Linked DNA regions of Nothobranchius furzeri. The protein of the gene in region 1 interacts with the protein of each later gene in a pairwise test. Links are inferred from orthologs where the notes say so. Each region holds a gene or a part of one and is shown in the gene's direction. Other genes may lie near its edges.

Region 1 (3,600 bases):
ATGATATTTTCTTCTTCTTCTTCTTCTTCTTCTTCTTCTTCTTCTTCTTCTTCTTCTACAACTTTGGATAAAAATCAGATTTTTTTAGCACTATAGCATGCTTGCTGGGTCTAGCCCTTTGACTCCAGACAACCATCTATACATAAATACAGTTTTAAATGTTTTTAGCTAAATAATGGGAGAAAAAAGACTTTTAGAGTAGCTCCCCTATTGCTAACAACATCCCATTGTATTTTTTAAACAATTTAAAGTTATTTGTACTGAGTAACTATTGTAACTGTATGAATATAGTTCATTTTTGTATTTCTACCGTTCATCCTTCATGTTCATTTTCCCAAGAAGACAAAAACAAAGATTACGTCGTTTTTCGGGTTTAACTGAACTAACGTGTAGTTCAATCTTCTTGCCACTGGAGGGCGCTCGCTCCCCATCTCCCAATCTCTTTCAAAAGACTTGCTGTGTCTAGTTTCTAATTCCATTTTTAGTTGTTTTTTTATAACCTTGCTGACAGTTTTGTTTGCCGACTGCTAATGTTTTACAGTCGGCAAACGAAACTGTCAGCAAGGTAAAAAAAAAAAATAAAATAAAAAACATTTTCTGTGTTATAAAAAAGAACTAAAAATGGAATAAGTGTAGTTCTAGCTTGATGCCACTGGACGGCGCCAAAAACCCTCCTCGTTCAGTGTAAAAGTTTGTAGCGCTGTAGCTAACCAGCTAACTTAGCCCTTGGACTCCACACCATTCTAAGTACAGTTTTACCTTTAATTCTAGCTAAATAATGATCGAAAAGACTGTTAGAGTGAGTGACACGGTCTATATGTCTGTGGTTGCTGACCCCAAAATGCGAATTTACAGAAATATTTCTAAGTAACTATTGTTATTTTATAAATATAATTATTTCTACTCTTCATCCTTTATATTAATATCCTGAAGACAATATTATGATTTTTAACAAGTTAATATTTTAAAAACACTTTAGTGTCGCATTTAATTTCACAAAAAAATTATATTTGTTTTCATTAGTGGTTGGGTTTTTCATTTAGACAAAGATCGTATATCGTGGGAAAAATTAGTTTTAGTCTTAAAATTTATGAATGAGATTATATTTCCAATCCACTTGCATCGTAACCACTCCTTTGATGTCATAGTTGTGATAATTTTAGTTTTAAGAAATGTTTATTTGATCGTGGCAATGCTGACCCCGCAGTAACGTTAACACTATCAGAAATTGGCATCGGCGTGAAGCATCTCAATATTTGACGAATCTCTGTTTTAAAGAGACAGGCTTGGGTTTCCCCTAGCCTCGCGTCATTGACTCATTTCCTGATTTCAATCAGACGATTTGTACTTCTGAGTAGAAACACCTTGGACTTGCTGGTGTTTTAGACCAGTAACTCTTATCTTATTAAAGGTTTATTTATGGAAAATGCTGCTCAAGGGGACTGCGGATGGGGAATGCGCGTAGCTGATGCACCAAATGCATTCAAATCTTAAACCAGACTGGCCCTCTACTTGTAACTCGGAAAATCAGCACGGAACCTGGAGTAACAACATGGTGAGTAGACGAAAACGACACAGATAAGTTCAACGGCTACAATAAAAAGTTCATGAGTTTATTATCGACTAAAACCGACTTCAATTAGTATATAAGTCATACCGGAAGCGAGTTAGCTAGCGTTGCTCGTGTTAGCGGAGTGGCTAACTTGGCTAGTTGGCGTTATGTAATAGCACGAGCTAGTTAAGCTAACTGTTTTTATATTTTCAGCTTGATAATAAATCTTTTGAGACACCAAAATTTCAGCGGCAGTGATGTTTAATTTATACTTTTTGTATTTATTTATCGTCCCTTCAAGGATACACAGCCACGTTGAAAGAAGAATGTTGACTCTAAAGTTAATTGTTGGACTTAAAGATAATGTTTGGGGTGTTTTCTTTTATTAGTTATAAAAAATATCTCTTGTGTTAACAGGATTCTCCTCAGTATCCAGGATATGCGTCACATTACTGGTATCCACAGTCTCATTCCACTGGGCACTATGCAAACACCTATCCCTCTGGATCAGATGTTCAGCAGCAGTACAACCCACAGGTACAGCTCCTTGTGCAATACAACCTATCCTCTCTAAGCCACAGCTAATAGGATGATAGGTCAATAGAATCCTTGGTCTTACCTAATATGTTTATCTTTATGTTAAGTACATTTTTTTTTACTCATTGCGTCTCTTATTTTGTTGTTCGTGTAGCTGATGCCTGGAGGATATCCAAATGGCCACGGAGTTTACAGCCCTGCACAAAGTCAGTATTCAACAAGCAGTTTCCACGCATCAAACCCCTTCTACTGTGCTGACCATCCAAGAAATTCTTATCCCAACCAAGGCTGTGCTACAGAGCAGGGTAGTGGGGCTTCTGGGCCACCATACCCTCAGCACCAACACCATCACTATCCTGGCCCACACTGTCAAGGCGTGAGTGGGTTTTTGCAAGTTTTCACATAGCTAGTAGATGCCAGGTGGGAGATCAACCCTAAATGTAGCCAGTACTGGTAGAAATATGACTAGAGTATTGTTTGGAAAACAAGTGGTTTGTTTCTTTTGCCCTCAGGGTCCTGGATATCCTCAAGGGCATTATTCACACTACAGTGAAGGTGGACATGCAGTTCCTCCAAATCCACCATATCCCACTGGGCAGCCTCCCCATCCCACCTCTCAGGCTGAAGCTTGGGGTCACTCAGGTCAGTATGCTCCATCACCACAACAGTGGCAGCATGGACAGCAGCCTTCACAAAGTCCCTATGGTAACCCTGTCCGACCGCCACATCCCCCAGCGTGGCCTGGTACTGGAACTGGTGCTCCACCACCCTATCAGCCTAAAGTAAGAGTCCGCTGCTTTTTCTCTGTAGTTTGTGCATTTTGCTTTTTCTTTTTTAATCAAACAAAAATGACTTAAGAGCCGGGAATTTAATCAGGTAAATTCCACTTTCTCTTCTAGGACCAGCGCGCCCCTCATGTGGGACCGAAACCCCGACCAGCACTGTCTCCAAATTCAACCAATGGAAAGCCTGCTGAAATAAGTTCGCCTCCCCAGATTTACAACAAGAATGGGAGAAGCGATCCCAACCCCTTACAATCTGAGACTCCACCAGCTCCTGGTCCTGCCGGACCTCAGCCCCTGAGCGACAATCCTGGGCTTGCTAAAGTCCAGCAGGTTCTGGTCAGAGTCCAGCTGCTTCAGGAAGATGTTGATGAGTTTGTCGGCAAAAAAACTGACAAGAGCTACCGGTGTCTAGAGGAACTGTTGACCAAAGAGCTGCTGGAGCTAGACTCTGTGGAGACTCAGGGACAGGAGAGTGTTCGTCAAGCCCGGAAAGAGGCTGTTCAGAGAATCCAGACCATTCTGGACCAGCTGGAGAGGAAAGCTTTCTGAACTGGACTTCCTCTATTTCCCCATGGGTTGCTGTCTTTTCCTTTTTCAGATCTTCCATGGAATAATTGAAGGTTCAATCTTCTTCTGTAAAGGTGTAATGTTGTTTTTTTTTTCTCCCACCTCAATGTTATAAAATATCTTAGACATGAAACAAACAACAAGGTGGAGCAGTTATCC
Region 2 (6,316 bases), on another chromosome or scaffold:
GTGTGTGTGTGTGTGTGTGTGTGTGTGTGTGTGTGTGTGTGTGTGTGTGTGTGTGTGTGTGTTGCTGTGAAAACATTGGTAAAGTGTGACAGGTTAGGTAGGTGGAGGAAGGATTTAATGCAAACATCATTTACACTTTTGTGTTTCTGAAGGTCAGATCTTTACTTGCGGAGCAAAAATGTTGGATTTGGCATTGTAATGAATTTCAATTCAATTCAAGTTTATTTATATAGCGCCAAATCACGACAAGAGTCGTCTCAAGGCACTTCACATAATAAACATTCCAATTCACAGTTCATTAAGCCAATCAGAAATAATGTTTCCTATATAAGGAACCCAGCAAATTGCATCAAGTCACTGACTAGTGTCAGTGACTTTACAGCAATCCTCATACTAAGCAAGCATGCAGCGACAGTGGAGAGGAAAACTCCCTTTTAACAGGAAGAAACCTCCAGAGGATCCTGGCTCAGTATAAGCAGCCATCCTCCACGACTCACTGGGGATGGAGAAGACGGAGAGCACACGCACACAAACACACACACACACACACACACACACACACACACACACACACACACACACACACACACAAGTAATGTGTCTATAGTTATATTGTGATGTCTTAGTAAATACTAGAAGTTCAAAGAAATCTAATCTATTTTACTTTACCACTTATTGCTCTACAGATCTATTTAAAATTTTACTGAAAATCACCTAAAAAGCCATTTCTACCATTTTCTGAATTCCAGTTAACAGTTTAGAATATTTGTACTTTTTTTTTTGTTTTTTTTTTTGTTTTTTACTTAAAAGAGCAGATAGAGGTACTTAGGTTCGTTTAGAAAAATGACGTATTTGCATCTTCTTTGACAGAATGGCAGACTGCCCTGATGCCCGGCATCTGTAGTGGTGAGTACATCGCGTTGTTTGTTGTCCAATAGCAGGCACAGTTTGAAAGACAACCGTAGATCCCGCCCCACGACTGAGGGCTGTCAATGGACTACATGTTCAGATATACAGGACGGCTTGCCAGGCTAGAACATCCATGTATTAAGATTGTTACCTGCATGTGAGTGTATTAATCAAAAACTGAATAAATGACAAGCATGTTACAGTTGGGAAGAAAGACAGGACCAAATAAGAATCCCTGCATGTTTCCATCTATTGGTTAAAAATGCAATAACTGTCTGTGGAACAAACGTGAAATACAGAGTTTCTACTTCAGATGTCAGTTGTTGTCCATCAATAAAAATGTATATACTGCCCCTGACCAAAAACACTCACCACTTGTATTTAACTAAGCAGATAGATATAAACCTCCTATTGGATAATTAATGCATGAGTGGTTATCTTTAAGCTGGCAACAAGTTACCCCAACTGGTGCAATGAGTTGCTTCTCCTTTCTTAAACAACCATGTGGAAAGACACATCTGGTGGCTGTGGGAAAAGATGTTAGCCTGTGTGAGAAGGGTCAGATCGTTGGCATCAAGCAGAGAAATCACCTAAGGAGATTGTAGAAATGACTAAAACGGGGTTAAGAACTGTCCAACGCATTATTAAAAACTGGTCTGATGAGGCCAGATTGACCCTGTTCCAGAGTGATGGAGCATCAGGGTAAGAAGAGAGGCAGATGAAGTGATGCACCCACCATGCCTAGTGCCTGTGGGGGCAGTGTTATGATCAGGGGTTGCTGCAGTTGGTCAGGTCTAGGTTCAGCAACAGGATGTGCTCCGAGAATGAGGTCAGCTGACTACCTGAATGTACTGAATGACCAGATTATTCCATCAATGGATTTGGTCTTCCCTGATGACACGGGTATATTCCAAGATGACAATGCCAAGACTCATTGGGCTCAAATAGTGAAAGAGTGGTTCAGGGAGTATGAGACATATATTTCACACATGGATTGGCCACCTGAGTCCAGACCTTAGAGGTGCATTATGTAGAAATGAAGTAAAAATTACATCCTGTGGTAAAATTTGGTTACTGCAACCACTTTAAACAACTCTGGAGCTTTTTGCAATGACTGAAACATTAGACTCTTTTGGGGTTTTCTCACTGTAAAATTCTCAATATATTCTTACACACTGCGCCTTTCACCCCACTGATAATCTTTGGGATGCTGGAGAAGATATTGTGCAGCAGTCAGACTCTACTATCATCAATGCAAGATCTTGGTGAAACATTAATGCAACACTGGATAATAACAAATCTTGTGACATTGCAGAAGCTTACTGAAACACTGCCACAGTGAATGTGTGCCGTAATCAAAGCTGTCCAACAAAATATTAGTGACCTTTTAGTGGGTGGTGACATTTTTTGGGCTGGACAACTTGCATGTAGGCATTTTATTGTGTTATGGTGATTTGAAATGAGTTCACACACATTGTTTGCTAGCCTGCAGACAAACAAATTTCTGTCATTTTGAAGATTTCGACTGATAAATGTCCAGATAGAATATGGTACTCACTTTACGCTAGTAAAAAAAAAGTCCTGGAATGCTGAGAGGTAAAAATTTGAAGCACTGGTGTACACCCAGTTTTTGATTTATACAGCTAATTACTACATCTTCTGTAGTCTATGCAGGAATTAGCAGAACTTAGCATAGCAGCTTGGGACATTTCATATTTCCTCCAAAGTAACCGCTTTTATGAAAGTGCCTTTTGCATGAACCACTATAAAAAAACTCAGATATTACAGAAATGTGTATCTCAAAATCAAGTAGAACACCAGCGTGTCGCAGTATTTGGGATGGAATTTCCTGTCCAAAACAATATAGAGAGTTTTAAAGTCTAAAGTCTTGATGTGTTCGACGCCCCCCAACATCCGTGTGTGAGCTCTGTGGTGCTGTTATGTACACCCGTGCGCATGCGCAATTCATTGTTTTGACTGAAAATGCCGTCGGTTTCGAAAACGGCGGCCAATGCGTCTCCTCAAACCGAGAAACCTACCCACTATACGTGAGTAATGCTGCTGCACACAAACAACAAAAGCTCTCGTTGCAGAAAATGCGAGCTGCACGCGCGCTTCTGTGCGTTAGCATTTGTAGCATTCCTCAACTCTCGTGTGTGTGTGTGTGCGTTAAAAATATGGTGCTTTTCCTGGCTTTGTGACTACCTTACGTTAACAACGACTGCTAACAACACCAGAGCTGAGGCAGGAAATACGAACTCGTTAATTCATTTAACTGCTAAATAATATGCAGTCGGAGTCGTTGTGTTTGTTTGAGTAGGTTGGAGGACGGTTTCTAATCGTGTATTTAATGTTATGCCGTTTTCTTTGTCTGCTAAATGATTAGCCAGGAACTCGCTAACAGCCTGCTGCTTGTAAATAGCTCGGCCTTCTTTAAGTTCCTTCTTTCTACGCACGTTTATGGACGTACGCCCAAAGCTTTGCACTTACCGTTACGCGAGTAAGTGTGCATAGTTTGCGTTCAGAATAGCACACCAACGTCAGTGACCCAAAATATATAGAAGGAAACCAAACAGCAGCGGAACACGACACCTCTTAGCTTAAAGCTATTTTAACCTCACCGCGTGACCCAAGCTTGTCTTATTTTTATTCTTTTTCGCTTTTTCAGATACTTGAAGGAGTTCAGGACAGAGCAGTGCCCGTTGTTCCTCCAGCACAAGTGTACGCAGCACAGACCCTTTACTTGCTTTCATTGGCATTTTCTCAACCAGCGACGAAGGCGACCGATCAGAAGGAGAGACGGGACCTTTAACTACAGCCCCGATGTCTACTGCACCAAATACGACGAGACCACGGGCATTTGCCCGGATGGAGATGAGTAAGTCCCCGTTACAGTAGACGTGATCCACATTAGGCAGCTGGAGGACATAAATAATCAGTCATGCATCGTTTCTGCTCACATACTCGTCAGTGGTTAACTTGTGTTTAAACGTAAAAAGGTTTAGAGATTTAGATCATGACCTAAATAAACTTAGTTAAACTTTATTTGATTGATGAAAGTGGATTTATTTTATTAGGGGTGAAAATCTGGTGAATTTATTAATTTATCACTTTTTTAAATTGACGTAGTACAGAAGATAACTTTTTCATTTGAGGCAGTGGATTAAAAAAGTAAAAAAAAAACAATGGTCATGATTTTGTCGCTGCTTTTTTTTATTTGTAAAATGGGCCAAATAGTCAGTATGTGTGGTTTTGATTTGCTGCAATTGATAAGATATTGTTGTGTAGACATGTTCCACACAAATCTAACAAATCTAGAGACGTTTATAAAATAGTTTTAAATGTATAATAAAGGTTAGACACACATTCATTCTGGTTTTGAAAGCTGATGGTGATTCCCAGTTTTTGTTCAGCTACCAACTTTAGCCCGTTTGGATAGACTTGAACAAGTATAATTAACAAAATACTTTATTGTTCATTCTGATTAACTTGAAAAGTGATGATCTGAGAAGCAAAAACATCAACAATAAAAACACGTTGATGCTAGTATGACACAGCAATGGAAGCTGTTACAGGAGACGGTTATTTTGAATAATTGCCTGGACTGTGTTGCATTTTCAGCAGAGACATTATTTAAAAGTGAGGACACATGCTGACGTTTAGCAGTTTATTCAAATATCCTTTTCACTGATTAACTGTTTTTCTTTTTTTAGCATATATGTTTTACACTCATTGCTTGCCATGCTTGGACTACAGCTACAGAATGATATAGCAGACATTTTTCTTGGAGGCATCATTTATTTCAATTATGTTTTGTTTTCCTCTCAGTATTTCCTTTGTTTTTCTCAACATTTACAATCACTGTACTTTTCTTTTTTATGTTTCTTTTCTGTTTATTTGTGGCACCATCATGTAAAACATATCCTTAAGATTTTTAAGGGCGTGACGGGGTATTGAAAATAAAATCTCATTTAATTGGGTGCAAGGGGATGACCTAGAATGAAATATTAAACTAACAGTTGAGCAGCAGTAAACTGCAGCCCTCACAATTGCTCCTCTGCTACAAAGCTATTTTTGTGTTGCTATAACAACTGTTGCTCAAGAAAGGAAAATTGTCAGCTTACTATTCATACGTTTCTTGAAGCATTTGGTTTCAGCTCCGCAGCTTGTGTGAAATTGTATGTAATGATTTGTTACATCTTAAGTAATGACCCATAAAATGTGAGATTCCATAGGAAATATTAAATCAATTTGGTGGATCTTTGAATATTACTTTAACCAGAAGATCGGAACTTTTTATTGCAGGGATTAGGGAACACTTCGTATTAACCCAGAGACGAGAGAGAGAGTCGAGTTTTAAAGTTAAAGAAGATTTATTTCTAAACAATTTAAAGAAGACTAACTTTAAACACCAGGTGTATGATGTAACTAAAGCCTGATTTATGCTTCTCCGTCTGCGTCAGTGCGGAGACACGCAACGCCATTATCCGTCCTTGCGTAGGGCACGCAAGGACGTACGGAGTCGAGCCCACTTTTTTAAACATCCGTCGAACGAGACGGATTACGCAAGCTTGTGATTGGTCAGGATGCCGCTGTTGTTTACAGCGCCGCCATTGCAAAGAGAGCCGAGGATAACTAGCGGCAGACACGGAGAAGCTTGAAGAATATCTCGCGAAAAAACTCTAAAAATATGAACGTTTAGTTCTCCCGTGACTGGAGGAGTTTTATTAGTGGACGGAAATGACAGGAAACGTGGGTTTAGAGGTGGGGAGCGCATGAAGAGGTGGGAGAATGAGAGACAAATATATCCGTGTTAAAACTCTCTTATATACACAAAAAACACAATATAAACACACGATCTTGGACCGATACATGACAGGATACCACAGAAAAGCGCTACGCCCTCTGTTGTCCTGCCGGGCAATTGCTTTGCAACACTCTCCAGGAGACGGAGAAGTAAAAGAGCAAAACGCTTCCGTCAATCCGTGCGTGTCTGTCCCTTGCGGAGCTGACGGAGAAGCATAAACCAGGCTTAAGGTGGAGTAATACTGAGGATGGTGTGTGTGTGAAAGAAATATGTTCAGAACCAGCAAATCCGGAGAGACTATTAGTTCTGATGGGAGTGAAAGGGTGTTTCGCTCTAAGCTTTGGTTTGGAGATTATAACACACGTTGAGACGCCATCTGTCCGTCTACGTACTCCAACAGAAGTTCCCGTTTAGATCCGGAATGTCGGGGGTCCAGCTTGGAACCGACGCCTGTAGATATGCAGCGGTTGCCGACCCTTCCAGTCTTGAGTTACTCCCAGTTCACGTCAGTTTATTGGCATCAGCGAGACCCTGAAGGGGTCGTGATGGGTCAGCTTTTATTCTGAAGGAACCGTTGCAGTAGGTGGAACATGCAACAGG
Region 3 (6,316 bases), on another chromosome or scaffold:
ATAGCTGATCATATCAGGATAACAGCTGATCATATCAGGGTAACAGCTGATCATATCAGGGTAACAGCTGATCATATCAGGGTAACAGCTGATCAGGATAACAGCTGATCATATCAGGGTCACAGCTGATCATATCAGGGTAACGGCTGATCAGGGGAACAGCCTGCCTCCTGCTTAACTGTGTTTTTGACCAACTCAACCAGTTTAAATTAAGCTGTGATTTTAGTCATCTTCTGCCAAATACCCACCAGAGTGACTAACTGGTGCCTGCACTGATCTGGTTACGGGGTCATTTATGCTGCAGCTCCAATCGTAAAGATGCTTTTATTCACTGATCCAAAAGCAGAACCCCGGTCTGGTTCTGCGGTGCTGCTAAAGGTGAGGGATACTTTATTTGTTTTATTTTGGAGTGTTAATAAAGTTAAACAGAACAACACGACTCGTTAAATGTCCAACTGGACTCTTATTTTGAAAGACTCTCCGACTGACTGAACCGGACCACAAACCAACCTGGTTCATACCGGCGTTCACGAACAGCAAGCTCGGGTCTCCTCTGGGTCGGACGGGAGAAGACGGAACCAGAATGTGTCCGTGGCTCTCCTGGAAGAAGTCCAGGAAGGTCTTCCGGACCTGCGCGGCAGGAAACAAGGGCGGAAACCCGCTGAGAGAGCGCACCGAGGCGGCAGAGAGCGGTCGGAACCGCCGCAGGACTGACTCCAGCATCTGGATCACAATCTCACAGAGCCAAACCAGACCCGAACCATCTCAAGGTGTTTTGGGGGCGCATGCGCGCAGCTGTCTTCTTCTACGTACATATTATATGTCGTAAATGTTATGCTGCCACCTGGTGATCACATTTGGCTGCTGCAGCTGAGAAAGCCACAGTACATGCGCGCGCACGATTTGAATAGATAAAAATACAAAAAAACATCTGTTATTATTATTAGTATGTAGATTTGTATGTCTGTGTCTTTAATGCTGTTTCTCCTTGGAAACACAATTCTTTATTTTAATTCATTTATTTTCGTTTGCTGAAGTTACATCATGGCCAAATGTGTATTTAACTAGCTGCCTTAACGAGTTACCTTCACCACTGGTCTCTCTCTCTCACTGTATGTGCGTGTGTGTGTGTGTGTGTGTGCGTGTATATATATACCATAGACTGTACATATACACCACACACACACACACACACACACACACACACACACACACACACACACACACACACACACACACACACACACACACACACACACACACATTTATATATATATATGTATATATATATATGTATATATACGATATATATACATACATATATATGTATATATACATACATATACATATATATATGTATATATATATATATATATGTATATGTATGTATATATACCGTATACACACACACACACACACACACACACACACACACACATATATATATATATATATATATATATATATATATATATATATATATATATATGTATATATACGGTATATATACATACATATATATATGTATATATACGTATATATACATATATATGTATATATACCGTATATATACATACATATATATACATATACATATATATATGTATATATACATATATATATATATATATATATATATATATACATATATATATGTATATATACATATATATATATATATATATATATATATATATATATATATATATATATATATATATATATACATGTGTGTGTAGTATATACACACACACACACACACACACACACACACACACACACAAGCAGGACAGCAGACAGGAAGTATATATTTTAGAATCTCCAGGTACAAAAAGTAAACCCGTGTGAGGGTCGCGAACACATCTGGAACAAGACCTCTAACATCTGGATCTGTCAGCGCTGTAGTAAAAAAATAAGTACAGTTTATTTAAATTGCACCTTTCCCATTAACAGGCGCTTCAAAAATAGACCAGAAATTTAAAATTAAATGATAAACTCGGTTCTGGATCTTTCCAGGAGCTGGAGATGAAGCTGAAACTGAAGCAAATGTTCTCCTCAGCTATCCTGGGTCCTCCACTGAATCATAAGTTCGGTTCTGTCTGACAGGTTGTCCAGTCCGCTTCTGTCCCAGACTTGGTGGGTCCCTGAACGCATCTCGCGCGCTCGTTAAACCTGATTAAACTCACCTGCTGGCGCCACGGAGGCTCGCGCGGCTTTCACCGGAGGATACCGGCTGTTCCGTGGAGTTTTGTTCGGCTCGTTTCGGCAGCGGCATGCAGAAAGGTCTGAAAAAGTACTTCGTCAACATGGACGAGTACCTGTCCAGTTTGGGACTCTACCGGAAGATGGTGGCGCGGGACGCGTCCAGTCTGTTCCGGGCCGTGTCTGAACAGGTGAGGCGGGGTAACGCGGGGTTCGTTGCGGTTCCGACAAACGTGTTCCTCTGTCCTTAAGGCAAAATGTCCAGCTCTACACGCACATGTGATGTGAGACCTGCAGGGCCGCTCACCGCTCTCTCTGACTAGTTCCGAGTAGCGGCTCGGTTCCGGTGACCGGTTAGCCACTCTGCAGCAGTGGTACCCACACTCCTGCTTCAGACCCCGTCTCTTCAGAAACTTATAAAGCGGAATAATTCAGGACAAAACGAAACTCGTCCGCTCAGGTTTACTTTTATGACTGCAGTTGAGTTTTTGTAGCTTCAGCAACTGTTTTTCTTTTAAAATTTGCTTTATGGACTGGAAACAAGCCTAAGACCCCCAGTGAAGCTCCTGGCGATCCCCAGTGGGGTCACGACCCCGGCTTTGGGAACCCCTTTTTTGGAGTAAGCAAATCAGTCCAAAACCGAACAGAATGTTTGGATCAACCTGTGGATTTAGTCCTTTTGGGGGCCGAGGTGACACCTTAGACCTGACCCCCATTTATGTGATTTATTTGTGTGTGTGTGTGTGTGAGATGGTGGTTGGGGCAGGGCTGCTCAGTAGACTCATGCTGATAACCCAAACCCGGGCCATCCCATCTGACCCGCTGTTCTGCCTGTGCTGCAGCTGTATTACTCCCAGAACTACCACCAGAAGATCCGACAGGACTGCGCTGACTTCATGAGGACCAACAGGTGCAACTTTGAACCGGTGAGCAGAATCTAGATGGGTTTAGTCCAGTGATGACTAGTTTTGTTTCTGTTTAGTTTACTAGGAAACCCAACATCCGGTCCAGATTTCCTGACCTCATCTTTCCAATTTCCTTCCCAGCTGACAGTTTGGTTGTGGTCCAGGCCCGGTCCAACAGACAATGAGGCCGATTTTTGGCCTGACCCTTTAACATGATGTGGAATGCAGGTCCTTCTCAAAAAATTAGCATATTGTGATAAAGTTCATTATTGTCTGTAACGTACTGATAAACATGCATACAGTGGGGCAAAAAAGTATTTAGTCAGCCACCGATTGGGCAAGTTCTCCCACTTAAAATGACAGAGGTCAGTAATTTACATCATAGGTACACTTCAACTGTGAGAGACAGAATGTGAAAAATCCGCACATGGCAGGATTTTTAAAGAATTTGTAAATCAGGGTGGAAAATAAGTATTTGGTCAATAACAAAAATTCAACTCAATACCTTGTAACATAACCTTTGTTGGCAATAACTGAGGTCAAACAATTACTATAGGTCTTTACCAGGTTTGCACACACAGTAGCTGGTATTTTGGCCCATTCCTCCATGCAGATCTTCTCGAGAGCAGTGATGTTTTGGGGCTGTCGCCGAGCAACACAGACTTTCAACTCCCTCCACAGATTTTCTATGGGGTTGAGGTCTGGAGACTGGCTAGGCCACTCCAGGACTTTCAAATGCTTCTTACGGAGCCACTCCTTTGTTGCCCGGGCGGTGTGTTTGGGATCATTGTCGTGTTGGAAGACCCAGCCACGATTCATCTTCAAAGCTCTCACTGATGGAAGGAGGTTTTGGCTCAGAATCTCACGATACATGGCCCCATTCATTCTGTCCTTAACACGGATCAGTCGTCCTGTCCCCTTAGCAGAAAAACAGCCCCAAAGCATGATGTTCCCACCCCCATGCTTCACAGTAGGTATGGTGTTCTTGGGATGCAACTCAGTATTCTTCTTCCTCCAAACACGACAAGTTGAGTTTATACCAAAAAGTTCTACTTTGGTTTCATCTGACCACATGACATTCTCCCAATCCTCTGCTGTATCATCCATGTGCTCTCTGGCAAACTTCAGACGGGCCTGGACATGCACTGGCTTCAGCAGCGGAACACGTCTGGCACTGCAGGATTTGATTCCCTGCCGTTGTAGTGCGTTACTGATGGTGACCTTTGTTACTGTGGTCCCAGCTCTCTGCAGGTCATTCACCAGGTCCCCCCGTGTGGTTCTGAGATTCTTGCTCACCGTTCTCATGATCATTTTGATCCCACGGGATGAGATCTTGCGTGGAGCCCCAGATCGAGGGAGATTATCAGTGGTCTTGTATGTCTTCCATTTTCTGATAATTGCTCCCACAGTTGATTTTTTCACACCAAGCTACTTGCCTATTGTAGATTCACTCTTCCCAGTCTGGTGCAGGTCTACAACTCTTTTCCTGGTGTCCTTCGAAAGCTCTTTGGTCTTGGCCATAGTGGAGTTTGGAGTCTGACTGTTTGAGGCTGTGGACAGGTGTCTTTTATACAGATAGAGTTCAAACAGGTGCCATTAATACAGGTAACGAGTGGAGGACAGAAAAGCTTCTTAAAGAAGACGCTACAGGTCTGTGAGAGCCAGAGATTTTCCTTGTTTGAAGTGACCAAAAACTTATTTTCCACCCTGATTTACAAATAAATTCTTTAAAAATCCTGCCATGTGAATTCATGGATTTTTTTTTCATTCTGTCTCTCACAGTTGAAGTGTACCAATGATGTAAATTACTGACCTCTGTCATCATTTTAAGTGGGAGAACTTGCACAATCGGTGGCTGACTAAATACTTTTTTGCCCCACTGTAATGGATTCATTCCACACAACTGAAGTAGTTCAAGCCTTTTATTGTTTCTAATATTGATGATTTTGGCGTACAGCTCATGAAAACCCAAAATTCCTATCTAAAAAAATTGGCATATTTCATCCGAACAATAAAAGAAAAGTGTTTTTAATACAAAACAATTCAACCTTCAAATAATGATGTTCAGTTATGCACTCAATACTTGGTCGGGAATTCTTTTGCAGAAATGACTGCTTCAGTGCGGCGTGGCATGGAGGCAATCAGCCTGTGGCACTGCTGAGGTGTTATGGAGGCCCAGGATGCTTCGATAGCGGCCTTAAGCTCATCCAGAGTGTTGGGCCTTGCGTCTCTCAACTTTCTCTTCACAATATCCCACAGAGTCTCTACGGGGTTCAGGTCAGGAGAGTTGGCAGGCCAGTTGAGCACAGTAATACCATGGTCAGTAAACCATTCACCAGTGGTGTTGGCACTGTGAGCAGGTGCCAGGTCGTGCTGAAAAATGAAATCTTCATCTCCATAAAGCTTTTCAGCAGATGGAAGCATGAAGTGCTCTCAAATCTCCTGATGGCTAGCTGCAGTGACCCTGCCCTTGATCAAACACAGTGGACCAACACCAGCAGCTGACATGGCACCCCAGACCATCACTGACTGTGGGTACTTGACACTGGACTTCAGGCATGTTGGCATTTCCCTCTGCCCAGTCTCCCTCCAGACTCTGGCACCTTGATTTCCGGATGACGTGCAAAATTTGCTTTCATCCGAAAAAAGCACTTTGGACCACTGATAACAGTCCAGTGCTGCTTCTCTGTAGTCCAGGTCAGGCGCTTCTGCCACTGTTTCTGGTTCAAATGTGGCTAGACCTGGGGAATGCGGCACCTGTAGCCCATTTCCTGCACACGCCTGTACACGGTGGCTCTGGATGTTTCTACTCCAGACTCAGTCCACTGCCTCCGCAGGTCCCCCAAGGTCTGGAATCGGTCCTTCTCCACTATCAGGGTCCGGTCACCTCTTCTGGTTGTGCAGCGTTTTCTGCCACACTTCTTCCTTCCCACAGACTTCCCACTGAGGTGCCTTGATACAGCACTCTGGGAACAGCCTGTTCATTCAGAAATGTCTTTCTGTGTCTTACCCTCTTGCTTGAGGGTGTCAGTGATGGCTTTCTGGACAGCAGTCAGGTCAGTGGTCTTACCCGTGATTGCGGTTTTGAGTAATGAACCAGGCTGGGAGTTTTTAAAAGCCTCAGGAATCTTTTGCAGGTTTTTAAAAGTTAGTTGATTCAGATGATTAGGTTAATAACTCGTTAATAGCTTTTTGAGACAGGAATTTTG

Evidence for each region.
Region 2: the proteins of bag4 (region 1) and unkl interact in binary tests that used the Homo sapiens proteins (3 or more experiments, as listed by UniProt). The link is inferred for Nothobranchius furzeri from reciprocal best matches to the Homo sapiens genes BAG4 and UNKL.
Region 3: the proteins of bag4 (region 1) and alg13 interact in binary tests that used the Homo sapiens proteins (3 or more experiments, as listed by UniProt). The link is inferred for Nothobranchius furzeri from reciprocal best matches to the Homo sapiens genes BAG4 and ALG13.

Annotation. Positions count from the first base shown.
Region 1 is NC_091757.1:36,773,901-36,777,500, forward strand, and holds the start of bag4 (BAG family molecular chaperone regulator 4), read left to right. Parts: upstream 1-1,295; 5' UTR 1,296-1,468; coding exon 1,469-1,555; intron 1,556-1,969; coding exon 1,970-2,089; intron 2,090-2,243; coding exon 2,244-2,465; intron 2,466-2,601; coding exon 2,602-2,871; intron 2,872-2,988; coding exon 2,989-3,423; 3' UTR 3,424-3,600. UniProt on the Homo sapiens protein: Inhibits the chaperone activity of HSP70/HSC70 by promoting substrate release. Prevents constitutive TNFRSF1A signaling. Negative regulator of PRKN translocation to damaged mitochondria.
Region 2 is NC_091745.1:4,010,626-4,016,941, reverse strand, and holds the start of unkl (putative E3 ubiquitin-protein ligase UNKL), read left to right. Parts: upstream 1-2,662; 5' UTR 2,663-2,892; coding exon 2,893-2,957; intron 2,958-3,577; coding exon 3,578-3,787; intron 3,788-6,316. UniProt on the Homo sapiens protein: May participate in a protein complex showing an E3 ligase activity regulated by RAC1. Ubiquitination is directed towards itself and possibly other substrates, such as SMARCD2/BAF60b. Intrinsic E3 ligase activity has not been proven.
Region 3 is NC_091746.1:29,406,252-29,412,567, reverse strand, and holds the start of alg13 (putative bifunctional UDP-N-acetylglucosamine transferase and deubiquitinase ALG13), read left to right. Parts: upstream 1-2,262; 5' UTR 2,263-2,273; coding exon 2,274-2,393; intron 2,394-3,044; coding exon 3,045-3,128; intron 3,129-6,316. Other genes in the region: aars2 (alanine--tRNA ligase, mitochondrial), read right to left, coding at 511-723. UniProt on the Homo sapiens protein: Catalytic subunit of the UDP-N-acetylglucosamine transferase complex that operates in the biosynthetic pathway of dolichol-linked oligosaccharides, the glycan precursors employed in protein asparagine (N)-glycosylation.